Saccharomyces cerevisiae S288C: one gene and its partners. The protein of the gene in region 2 binds, or shares a complex with, the protein of the main gene of each other region. Each region holds a gene or a part of one and is shown on either strand. Other genes may lie near its edges. The genes, in order: IMG1, MRPL13, MRP35 and MRPL6.

Region 1 (2,633 bases), on a different chromosome or scaffold from region 2:
AGTCTGCGGATCTTAAGAAACTCTTCGTCTTGCAACAAATCCTTAGTCTCCGTCATTCTTGCAATCTGTTTTGGCGCTCTTGCTGCAAGCCGTGCTGAACAACCACCTGCGTGAGTGTGCCAATGGCGCCCCTTTCCTCCACCACGCTCGTCCTTCTTATATCATCCGCATGTTGCCAGGGTCTGCTGGGTGCTATTGTTCGCTAAACGAGTCCAACCACGGCCGGGTATTTGATGGCCAAGCCAGATTTTTTTTTTTTTTTCACTCTACACCATCTCACATTTTTCAATTTTATCGATAAAAAGAAGAGATGAGCAGCACATACATAGTGTGATAAAGAGGAAAAAAGCAGAAGAAGCAGAAGAAGAAGAGCATAGTAAAAAAGTAGTGCTAAAAAGGTGCGGTACGGAAACACAGGAAATATATCAGAGAAGAAATAATGTCACGTCCTGAGGAGTTGGCACCACCGGAGATTTTCTATAATGATAGCGAAGCACACAAGTACACGGGTTCGACCAGAGTGCAGCATATCCAGGCGAAGATGACGCTGAGGGCGTTGGAGCTTTTGAATCTGCAGCCGTGCAGTTTCATTCTGGATATCGGGTGCGGGTCCGGACTGTCTGGGGAGATTTTGACGCAGGAGGGAGACCATGTGTGGTGTGGTTTGGATATATCGCCCAGCATGCTTGCGACCGGTCTTAGTAGAGAGCTGGAGGGCGACTTGATGTTGCAGGATATGGGCACCGGGATACCGTTCCGGGCGGGCTCGTTTGACGCGGCTATTAGTATCAGTGCGATCCAATGGCTGTGCAATGCGGACACTTCATACAACGATCCTAAACAGCGGTTGATGAGGTTTTTCAACACATTGTATGCTGCACTGAAGAAGGGAGGGAAATTTGTGGCCCAGTTCTACCCGAAAAACGACGACCAGGTGGACGACATACTGCAGTCTGCCAAGGTGGCAGGGTTCAGTGGCGGGCTTGTGGTGGACGACCCAGAGTCTAAAAAGAATAAGAAGTACTACCTTGTGTTGAGCAGTGGGGCCCCACCGCAGGGGGAGGAGCAGGTGAATTTGGACGGTGTGACCATGGACGAGGAGAACGTCAACTTGAAGAAACAACTGCGCCAGCGCTTGAAGGGAGGCAAAGACAAGGAGTCTGCCAAGAGTTTCATTCTAAGAAAGAAGGAGCTCATGAAAAGACGTGGGAGGAAAGTTGCGAAGGACTCCAAGTTCACCGGGAGGAAAAGAAGACACAGGTTCTAGAAGAAACACACATCCTCACACGCATATTCTTTTGTATACTATAAAAATACACACTTATACATTTCCCTCTGTCTCTGTCTCCTTCTACATGTATACTTGTATATGTATACTTGTATATATACACTTATATCTGTATGTGAGTGGTCAATGGCTCCGCGCACTTTTATGTAGTGATGTATTTTCCTTTTTTTCTTGGTTTTCAATTTTGGTGCTTTGGAACTCCCAGTAAAGAAGAAGAAGAAGAATCGAGTCTTCCCTCTGAGCAGCTGCTGAAAGGGAGAGAGAACCATAGCGATGTGGAGCAGGAACGTCAGATTGCTTGGATCATGGACAAGGTCCTACATGGTCCCCGCCACCAAGAGAAAAACCATCCCCGTGTACCCACCTGTGCAGCGCATAGCTTCGTCGCAGATTATGAAGCAGGTGGCCCTCTCAGAAATAGAGTCTCTGGATCCCGGGGCCGTTAAGAGGAAGCTCATCAGTAAAAAGAACAAGGACCGCTTGAAGGCAGGCGACGTGGTCCGGATTGTGTACGACTCGTCCAAGTGCTCGTACGACACCTTTGTTGGCTACATCCTTTCCATAGACCGCAAACAACTGGTGCAAGACGCCTCGTTGCTGTTGCGGAACCAGATAGCCAAGACGGCCGTCGAGATTAGAGTGCCATTGTTTTCGCCGCTGATCGAGAGAATCGACTTGCTAACCCCCCACGTCTCGAGCAGACAAAGAAACAAACACTACTACATCAGAGGTACAAGGTTGGATGTCGGCGACCTCGAGGCAGGTCTAAGAAGAAAGAAATAGGCTAGGCGCGGGTTCTGTGGCCACCCATCTCCTGTATATAAGAAAAATAGTGCGTGTATAAAATCTACGTATACTAACTATGGGTAAAGTAAACCTTTTTGTACTGTTTTCTTTTTTTTTTTTTTGGTTTCCCGTAGTGATGACGTACGTGTATAGAGAATTGAAGCGAAAATAAAAAAAACGACACAAAATATTGTTCTCATTGGCTTTTTTATTTTCTATTTTACACAGCATATAGAGGTATACTCAAGTGCTAGACATCCTCTAACATCCGCCAAGAAAAACAGCAAAAAAACACTGGTCATGAAGCCACAGTGCATACTCATCTCTTTGCTGGTCAACCTCGCATACGCAGAGGAGTATTTGGTGAGGTTCAAAAATCCCACAGCATTCCAACAATTCACTTCGAATTCCAACAGGTCATGGAGACAGTTCATCGACAACAAAATTGAGAAGAAATTCTCCATCGGATCCTTCCGCGGCGTGACCATGAACCTGTCCAAGAACTTAGTGAACAAGCTGAAGAAAAGCCCACTGGTGGCTGATATTGTGCCCAACTTCA
Region 2 (3,135 bases):
CAAAATAACGGGACACGCATTCACTTAAATTTCGTTTCTTCACATGGATCTTGTCAGTAATAAAATCTAGAGAATATTAGTACCTCGGTAAATTTGTTGTACATACGCAACTGGAGAGGAAGGGGGAAATCAGTTGTGAATTGTAACCTGGACATAAGTTAGGATCTGCCACAGTTTTGCTTTGAACCGCTGCGAGAACGCTCCCACCACCACCGGCAAAGAGAACCAGCAGAGCGCTTAGACATTCCAACATTATCAGTATATCTCGTGTGTTCCTGCCTCTTGATGATTTTAGCTAGCTGTAATGTGTAACGAATTATTCCCTTACTGCTTCTTGAGTTAGCCGCCAAAGAGGAAATATAGCCACAAAAAGAACTTACAGAAAAGATAAGGTAAAAAAAAAAAGTGATCTATAATGGGAAAGAAAAATCCAAACTTCTTCAAAGAGTATATATATGTACAGGATATTAAAATGTAATGATAGTAGTAATAATAGTATTAACATAAGCTAAGCGGATCTTGCTGTTTCCAAAGCTTTTCTTGTTGCATCATCCTCTAACTTTTGAATTTCTTTCATAATAGTATCATATTTACTTTTTTGCTCTTTAGAAGTAACATCGTTAACAACATATATGTTTGGTGACGCGTAATTATCAGAAAATGGGTGGATAGCATTTGGCTCAGCTTCTTTATAAGCGAGTTTAGGATCGTTGGCAGATGGCAAAATTTTTTCCTTAATATACCTTTTAAACTGCAAGGGTGTGCTTAAAGTGGTCAGTTCATAATCAGGAATTAGATAGCCAGATTTAGATTGCAAAAATTTGGTGAACTGAAATTTAGCTACCAAATCAGAGAATTGGACGTCCTGGTCTACTTTGCCCAATGTTTTTTCCGTTGCCTGCAATATCATATCATCTAACTGATTATCAGACGTAATCTTATCCCTGGATAACCACTGATTGAATGGCGCAGAGGAGACCGCAAGCTTCAACTCCTTCTGTCTCTTACACCGTCTAGACCCTTCGCCAATAAAATTTTCTGGTATTAGCTCCAATCTGTTTTTGTTATTGGAAGAGGATTGAGAGGAAGCCTCGTTAGTGCCTTCTTCAATATCCTTTATCAACTGTTTGGTGTCCTTGACAGGCTCTTGGTGCTCTTCTTGCTTCTTCCTCTTGAACCATGACATAAAGTCCCCGTTTGCAGCGGAACTGTGAATACATCTGGCTTTCTGCTTGTAGCCAGAGAGCCAGACCGACCTTTGCGGCAATGGTCTAATACAATGTAATTTAAGCAGTGACGACATCCTCATACTATGTCCGCCTTTCCGTCTACCCATTATTCACTTCAGGACTGATGATCAGGCATGCAGTTAATTTGACAGAAGTCGTTGTTTCACTATAAATTTGTCAGCTACCCGCCTCACCAGCAGCGATAAAGAACGAAGAATAAAAGAGAGCATTCACAGAGTACGAATCCAGTATAGCGGTAGTGGATACAACGACAGATTTAAGTCGTAAAAATGGGAGCCGTACTCAGCTGTTGTAGAAACCATTCCGGCGAAGAGAATGAAGCTTTGCTGAGGGAACAGCAGGCAGGCTATGGAAGTCAAGGAAACGCAAATGACGAATACGATGCCGAACAAATGCGGTTGAAGGAACACGAACACGAACAGAAACTGCTGGCCAGGGAACAAGAGTTAAGAGACATTGTTGCAAACACCAACGATAAACTAATAGACATATCGATGATAAACAATAGTGGCATTGTAATTCAAGGGACAGACCTGCAAGAAGCTCTTGATAAAAGACAACAGGAAGAAGGTGGAGATTCCCGGGAAGACGAAAGGAGTGCAGGTGATGACAACCTCAGTGGGCACTCAGTGCCTTCAAGCGGATCCGCACAGGCAACTACTCACCAAACTGCACCAAGGACTAATACGTTTACTCTGCTTACATCACCGGATTCAGCGAAAATATCAAAGGAACAGTTAAAGAAGTTGCACTCTAATATACTAAATGAAATTTTCAGCCAGTCCCAGGTAAACAAACCAGGCCCCTTGACGGTTCCCTTTTAATGAACTTTTTGTATAACATCATTGGTATACAAGCTTTATAAATAAATGTTAAATAGTTAATGAAATAAAAAATCACATTTGACGAATTCGGAAGACAAGTAGCCCAAGAAAAAAAACAACAAAAGCATGCTAGAGGATGATGTTTAAAACGACCCTCAGCCTGTTATTACAATAGAGAGCAAACCAAAGAATAATAGATAAAGTACACAGATATGGTAGTTAAGAAGCGTAAGTTGGCAACTGAGGCCGGTGGCAGTGATGAAAGGCCTAAATACTTGCCGGGAAAACATCCTAAAAACCAAGAGAAAACTCCGCATGTGGATTATAACGCCCCATTAAACCCTAAATCTGAACTTTTTCTAGATGACTGGCATATACCTAAATTTAATCGATTTATTAGTTTCACTTTGGATGTTCTTATCGACAAATACAAAGATATTTTCAAAGATTTCATCAAACTACCAAGTAGGAAGTTTCATCCACAGTATTATTACAAGATCCAGCAGCCAATGTCTATTAATGAAATCAAGTCAAGAGATTATGAATACGAAGATGGTCCAAGTAATTTTCTTTTGGATGTTGAGCTACTGACAAAGAATTGTCAAGCTTACAATGAATATGACAGTTTGATTGTAAAAAACTCCATGCAAGTAGTAATGTTGATTGAATTTGAAGTATTGAAGGCAAAAAATTTGAAAAGAAATTACTTAATTAACAGCGAGGTCAAAGCCAAATTACTGCACTATCTTAATAAGCTAGTTGACGCCACGGAAAAGAAAATCAACCAGGCTCTGCTGGGTGCGTCATCTCCTAAAAACTTAGACGACAAAGTCAAGCTAAGTGAACCGTTTATGGAATTAGTCGATAAAGATGAACTTCCTGAATATTATGAAATAGTGCATAGCCCCATGGCTTTATCGATCGTAAAGCAGAACCTCGAAATTGGTCAGTATTCCAAGATATATGATTTCATCATTGATATGCTTTTAGTTTTTCAGAATGCTCATATATTCAATGATCCAAGCGCTTTGATTTACAAAGACGCAACAACTTTAACAAAT
Region 3 (2,535 bases), on a different chromosome or scaffold from region 2:
ACATTTTTGAAAGTTGTCAAAACAATCCCTGATAATAGTTATTGTAAAATGAGGTTAATGACTTTCGACAATGTGCCCTTCGCTATTTCACTGAAAACGAATTATCATTACTTCCCTACTGCAGAATTGAAGAGGGACAACATCACGCACAAATGGATTGAAAAGGAATTTACCGGCAACAGCCAAAGTGAAAAATAGGCCAGATTTGATAAAACATTTATATATGTATGTATGTATGTATACATCAAAGTCTTCCATAAAGAACAGTTTTTTTATAGACTATCACAGGAGCGTTAAGATTTACAAGTTTTTCAATCATTTTGAGGGGTTAGGATTATGATGTCGAGATGGTTGCAAGCGCCTGACGAAATAGTATTTAATTACTTCAACGCTTGAATTCTCTAAGGTATTATCGATTGTATAAATTTATGGTTATTGTTTCATACTTATTTATATACATGAAGACCGAAAGCAAATACTCAAACAATTGATTTGGGGTTAACGGTGCGTTTGGTTTAGAGGAGAACATAATTATTCCACCTTCAATGATAGGGTAATAACCGCTTTAGATGCTTTGAATAAGCTGGATGGGCAATTTTCCTTCCGGTTAAGGCTTTTAATGATCTATGGGACCAGCCTATATTGCCATGTTTTCTTCCAGCTATGCCTCTTTTAAAAGTATTACCGGTACGCCTCCACCTCTTTGCTGTACCTTTATGAGTTTTCATTAAAGTTCTTATTGTTATTGTAGAAACGTTATTGAATAGAAAGCCGTTGAGCTTCACTTTGAAACTATTTGAACCTTTAAGTAGTGGTTTGAGTACATTGAAAACAGACATGTTTTGGTTTTGGTCTCCTCGTTGCCGTTTGTTATGCAAGCTAATTTTCATGATAGATATATATACTATCTTTTTTGTATTTGACCAGATTTTTTTAGGCTCCGCAAATTGGCGAGGGCTTCAAGGTTGAAAAAATTGGTTGTGGTTTATACGCACTGCTAATTATTTACAGAATGAAAGAGAAAAAGAAAAAGATATATATATATATATTAGAACATGCATACGTGTATATTGAAACAAAAATGAAAACAAAAATTTTCAAAGTGAGATGTCAATGTCATTGCTGCTCTTCCTTTGTCATTTAGTCTACTTTGTTACTTAGTTTTTGTCTTCTCCTAAAAGTTTTTAAGTTTATGTTTACTGTTTACATTAAACCCTGTTCGCGTAATTTAGCTAAAGTTTCTTGAATCTTTTTAGCCAATACTGGATCAGACCTAATTCTTTGTTGAACTTTAGCGGCTTCAGCAAAAGTAATGGCTTGTAATTTCTCTTCCATAGTTCTAGCCAAATCAGCGGATTCTTCGAATAATGTAATAGCTTCATCGATATCTTCCTGCTGCAATTTCATTTGAGCTAAACCGATTTTAGCTTGCTCACTTCTTGGGTCTAGTTTGGACGCTTTTTCTAATAAATTCGTGGCTTCAATAAAATTTTCTACTGTTGGATTTCTTGTCAACAAAGTGGCTTTACCGACCAAAGGCGCAATTCCAACATAAATACCATCCAACTTGTTTTCTAATTCAATAGCCAAATCGTACTGCTTCAAAGCCTTGTCAAAATCGTTCTTGTCTGTTAAAATTTCAGCAAAGAAATTTGGAACTTCTGGTGCCTCTGGAAATTTTCTCTTAGCTTCACTAAACAAAGTTTCACAGTCATCAAACTTGTTTTCACGGTACGCTAGACATGCTAATTGAATATAAGGGAAGATATTCTCTGGGTCTAATTCCTTAGCTTTATCAAAATCTTTTCCTGCTTGATCATAGTTTTGTAAAATGAAATTCATTTGGCCGCGGTGATAGTAAACAGAAGAATTGTTTGAGTCCAGTTTCAGCGCTTTATCGAAGTAGTTATAATATTCAGTCGAGTCATTTCTATCAGCCATGATTAATGCCATGTAGATATATGAATTGACTCTTGGGAACAATTCAATAGCTTTCTTGATGTCTTCGTGAGCTCCCAATGGATCGTTTTTCAAGAACTTGAAAATACCTGTGTGTTCTAATGAGATGGCCAATTTTTCCTTTAACTTTTCATCCTCATTGTTCTTGTCCAATTGTTCTTCAAATAACCTTGCAGCTTTCGTGAAAGACTCATCAGCCTTGTCGTAACTTTCGGGAGATCTTTTGTACAAATTACTTAAACCGTTCATTAACTCTTTATCAGCTTCATTGGATTCATCATAATTGGCAAAAGTCAACTCGGGTTTGAAAATACCAAAGAAAGAGGCCATGGATGTAACTGAAGGCAAGTTTTCCTGCTTGTCTTTGCGTTCTTTAGCTGGTTGGGTGGATAATTCAGTTGGAGTAGCAGTAGCGGTGTCAATATCGCCAAACTTTTCTTTCAATTTAGACATAGCTTGCTTATTCAAGTTCCTCTCCAACATTGGTTCAATAGAGGCGTCATTGAAGTCACCATTTAGAGACAATACAGACAAATCGAACATCGCATCCGCAAATTTTCCTAGCCCTTCGTTAGC
Region 4 (2,935 bases), on a different chromosome or scaffold from region 2:
AGAAATTGGAAGGTACAGCATTTCATTTACTCACTTATTTGATCTTTTCTTTTGTTTTCTGGTAAACATCTTTGTTTTAAATGGGCTCTCTACAACAAAACATGAAAAGTACTCAAGAAAAAAAATCTTTATTAGCGTTGGAATCAAAAAATATATAGCATTAGCAGAACGTTAAAGAGGATATTTGGTTTCTAGTCTAAATGGTGTTCCCTTTTCGAAACTGTATAAAATGAAAGGTAAGGTTCGAACTTCTGTGGCCTTACTTATTGCGTTCATATTCCGTGAAACTAGTATATATTAAAGGTTGCAAGCCAAGAGTTTCATTGAACACCAAAATGTTTACCAAGCAAGAACACGTCACCGCATTAATAACCAATATAAATTTCATTTAAGTTATTTTCATAGGATATTTACAAGGTATTCCCTATAAAGTATAAGAAAAGATACATGTCATAAAAAAAATTACGAAAATGAGTACGAAAATAACTGAAATCCTGAAGTTATTTGATTTTCTTGTCCTTTAGCTTTATTGTTTCATCGTTAACGTATATTCCTTTGCCTTTATACGGCTCTGGTGGATGGAATTTTCTCAATTTGGCAGCAAAAAGAAGGACCTGCTGCTTATTGCACCCTTCAATAATCAGAGACGTGGGAGCAGGTGTTTTGACAACAATACCTTCAGGAACGTCCAATCCTTGTTTGATAGATGCACCCACCTTAACGTTGACAAATTTACCATCATTTTCTAATTGAGCTCTATAACCTGTCCCTACAAATCTAAGGACAGCAAGATGCCCCTCAGTAACACCTATAATGTGATTATTTATAAGTGATCTTACTGTACCCCACATCGAACGTTGATGTTTATCTTCTGAATTCTGAACTGTAACATTTATTTTACCGTGCTTTTCATCCTTGTCCAAGTGCAAAAAATCAGGGACCTCCACGGACAATTCACCCTTGGGTCCCTTTACTGTGATATTCTGTGATATATTCATTGAAGTTCTACCTTTTCTGATAATCCTGGGCATGGATAATGCATTTATGGAAACCTGAACTTCAGGAGATATATAAAGTGGTAAAGACCCCACTTGAGAGCGCAGAAAAAGTGTTTGCGACAATAACCTCCTCTGAATAAATGACATAGGTTGGCCTCAATTCCTATAGTAAGATTTGCGATAGCTTTATTGCGTGATCTTCCCTTACTTACTAGTATTTGATATTCTTCCTCTATAACCGTAGCGTCTCCTCGCTATTTCCGCTCGCCTTTCATTACCCTCTACTTCCAGTGAAAAAAATTTCACTGATATAAGCTCATCGCAACAAAAATTCAATGGGATAAGTAATATAGAACGTTCTAAATAGATAAACCACCAGGCATAATCACAACCAATAATGGTTAGAAAACTAAAGCATCATGAGCAAAAGTTATTGAAAAAAGTAGACTTCCTTGAATGGAAGCAGGACCAAGGCCACCGGGACACTCAGGTCATGAGAACATATCATATTCAGAATCGTGAAGATTATCATAAATACAATAGGATATGCGGTGATATTCGTCGTCTTGCCAATAAATTATCATTATTACCTCCCACTGATCCATTTCGTCGCAAACATGAGCAATTATTACTGGACAAGCTATACGCTATGGGTGTCCTGACAACTAAATCAAAGATTTCTGATCTGGAAAATAAAGTTACTGTTAGTGCCATCTGTAGGAGGCGATTACCTGTAATAATGCATAGATTAAAAATGGCGGAAACTATACAAGATGCAGTCAAGTTCATTGAACAAGGGCATGTTCGCGTGGGTCCAAATTTGATCAACGATCCAGCCTACCTCGTAACGAGAAATATGGAGGACTACGTTACTTGGGTGGACAACTCTAAGATCAAGAAAACCTTGTTGAGATACAGAAACCAAATCGACGATTTTGATTTTTCATAAATTGACTACAAACTTACGTTTTCTGTATCAATACTCGATTTATCATCTTCCTACATTGTGAAATTATTACGAATAGGCAACGAGGCAGCAAATACAAATGATGTGAGGCGCCTGAGCTTTCTTAAAAGCTGGAAGCATGAAAAATTGTTATATACACAAAGGAACTTCTTCGTCGTATGCAAAAATAAGAAAAACCGCAAAACAATTTCTCATCGGCGTCATTTGTTAAATATGCCTTAAAACTTAAAAATACACTTCGAAAAAATCCTATTTAACATAAATTAATTTGTATAAATACGCAATTTGTAAAATTTCTCCAATAAAACATCAATTTATATATCCGATAATTGTCCGTTCATTATCTACACTTCAGTTGACGGTATAATTATGTGAAGAGCCTAATTGTTTTCTTAAATCGTCCTGTGAACCACTATGTGGCAAAATTCCACCAACACTTGGTGGCTGTACAACATCTGTCTCTTCTAATATCCCACTAACACGAGAATTATACAGTTGCTGCTGCTGCTGTTGCAGATAGATATTATTTTGTGTGGTCAGACTGTTATTTCTTGAATTGGTTGCGCTTACACTTCTGAAAGAACCTGCTGGCTTATAAGATGGTTTTGCCGTCAAATCCGAAGGATTGGTCATTACCACACTTTGTCTAAGTTGATAAGGTGAAGGAACCGCCCCATTTTCGTTAAACTTCATATATTGGCCTTGCTGCTGTGGAGCATAATAGGCATCGTTTGTCGGTGAATAAAACATTTCCGGATGATCGACCGGATTTAACGCAGTTCCGTTTAGTCTGGCAGTCTGTAATTGAAGAAGTTGTTGCTTGTTTGGTCTTTTAAAAGAGGTCAATGAATGCGAGGAAGCTGATTGAGCTAAATATGCGGGAGTTGGTAATTCTCCAATAGTTTCCAGGGTCTGAGGATGATTATGTTGCTGTTGTTGAGGAGTTGGTACACCGTACCATTGTGGATTT

What was found.
Region 1: MRPL13 (region 2) and IMG1 share a complex: the UniProt entries of both Saccharomyces cerevisiae proteins name them as parts of the mitochondrial large ribosomal subunit.
Region 3: MRPL13 (region 2) and MRP35 share a complex: the UniProt entries of both Saccharomyces cerevisiae proteins name them as parts of the mitochondrial large ribosomal subunit.
Region 4: MRPL13 (region 2) and MRPL6 share a complex: the UniProt entries of both Saccharomyces cerevisiae proteins name them as parts of the mitochondrial large ribosomal subunit.

The regions. Positions count from the first base shown.
Region 1 is NC_001135.5:209,352-211,984, reverse strand, and holds IMG1 (mitochondrial 54S ribosomal protein bL19m IMG1), read left to right. Parts: upstream 1-1,561; coding exon 1,562-2,071; downstream 2,072-2,633. Other genes in the region: ARE1 (sterol acyltransferase), read right to left, coding at 1-56; BUD23 (18S rRNA (guanine1575-N7)-methyltransferase), read left to right, coding at 440-1,267; RRT12 (Rrt12p), read left to right, coding at 2,375-2,633. UniProt on the Saccharomyces cerevisiae protein: Component of the mitochondrial ribosome (mitoribosome), a dedicated translation machinery responsible for the synthesis of mitochondrial genome-encoded proteins, including at least some of the essential transmembrane subunits of the mitochondrial respiratory chain.
Region 2 is NC_001143.9:449,915-453,049, forward strand, and holds MRPL13 (mitochondrial 54S ribosomal protein mL50 MRPL13), read right to left. Parts: upstream 1,304-3,135; coding exon 509-1,303; downstream 1-508. Other genes in the region: YKR005C (uncharacterized protein), read right to left, coding at 1-37, 107-253; MEH1 (Meh1p), read left to right, coding at 1,520-2,074; RSC4 (Rsc4p), read left to right, coding at 2,287-3,135. UniProt on the Saccharomyces cerevisiae protein: Component of the mitochondrial ribosome (mitoribosome), a dedicated translation machinery responsible for the synthesis of mitochondrial genome-encoded proteins, including at least some of the essential transmembrane subunits of the mitochondrial respiratory chain.
Region 3 is NC_001146.8:397,481-400,015, forward strand, and holds MRP35 (mitochondrial 54S ribosomal protein bL35m MRP35), read right to left. Parts: upstream 891-2,535; coding exon 543-890; downstream 1-542. Other genes in the region: NMA111 (Nma111p), read left to right, coding at 1-198; protein channel TOM70, read right to left, coding at 1,204-2,535. UniProt on the Saccharomyces cerevisiae protein: Component of the mitochondrial ribosome (mitoribosome), a dedicated translation machinery responsible for the synthesis of mitochondrial genome-encoded proteins, including at least some of the essential transmembrane subunits of the mitochondrial respiratory chain.
Region 4 is NC_001140.6:392,139-395,073, forward strand, and holds MRPL6 (mitochondrial 54S ribosomal protein uL6m MRPL6), read right to left. Parts: upstream 1,146-2,935; coding exon 501-1,145; downstream 1-500. Other genes in the region: snoRNA-binding rRNA-processing protein IMP3, read left to right, coding at 1,396-1,947; SKG6 (Skg6p), read right to left, coding at 2,317-2,935. UniProt on the Saccharomyces cerevisiae protein: Component of the mitochondrial ribosome (mitoribosome), a dedicated translation machinery responsible for the synthesis of mitochondrial genome-encoded proteins, including at least some of the essential transmembrane subunits of the mitochondrial respiratory chain.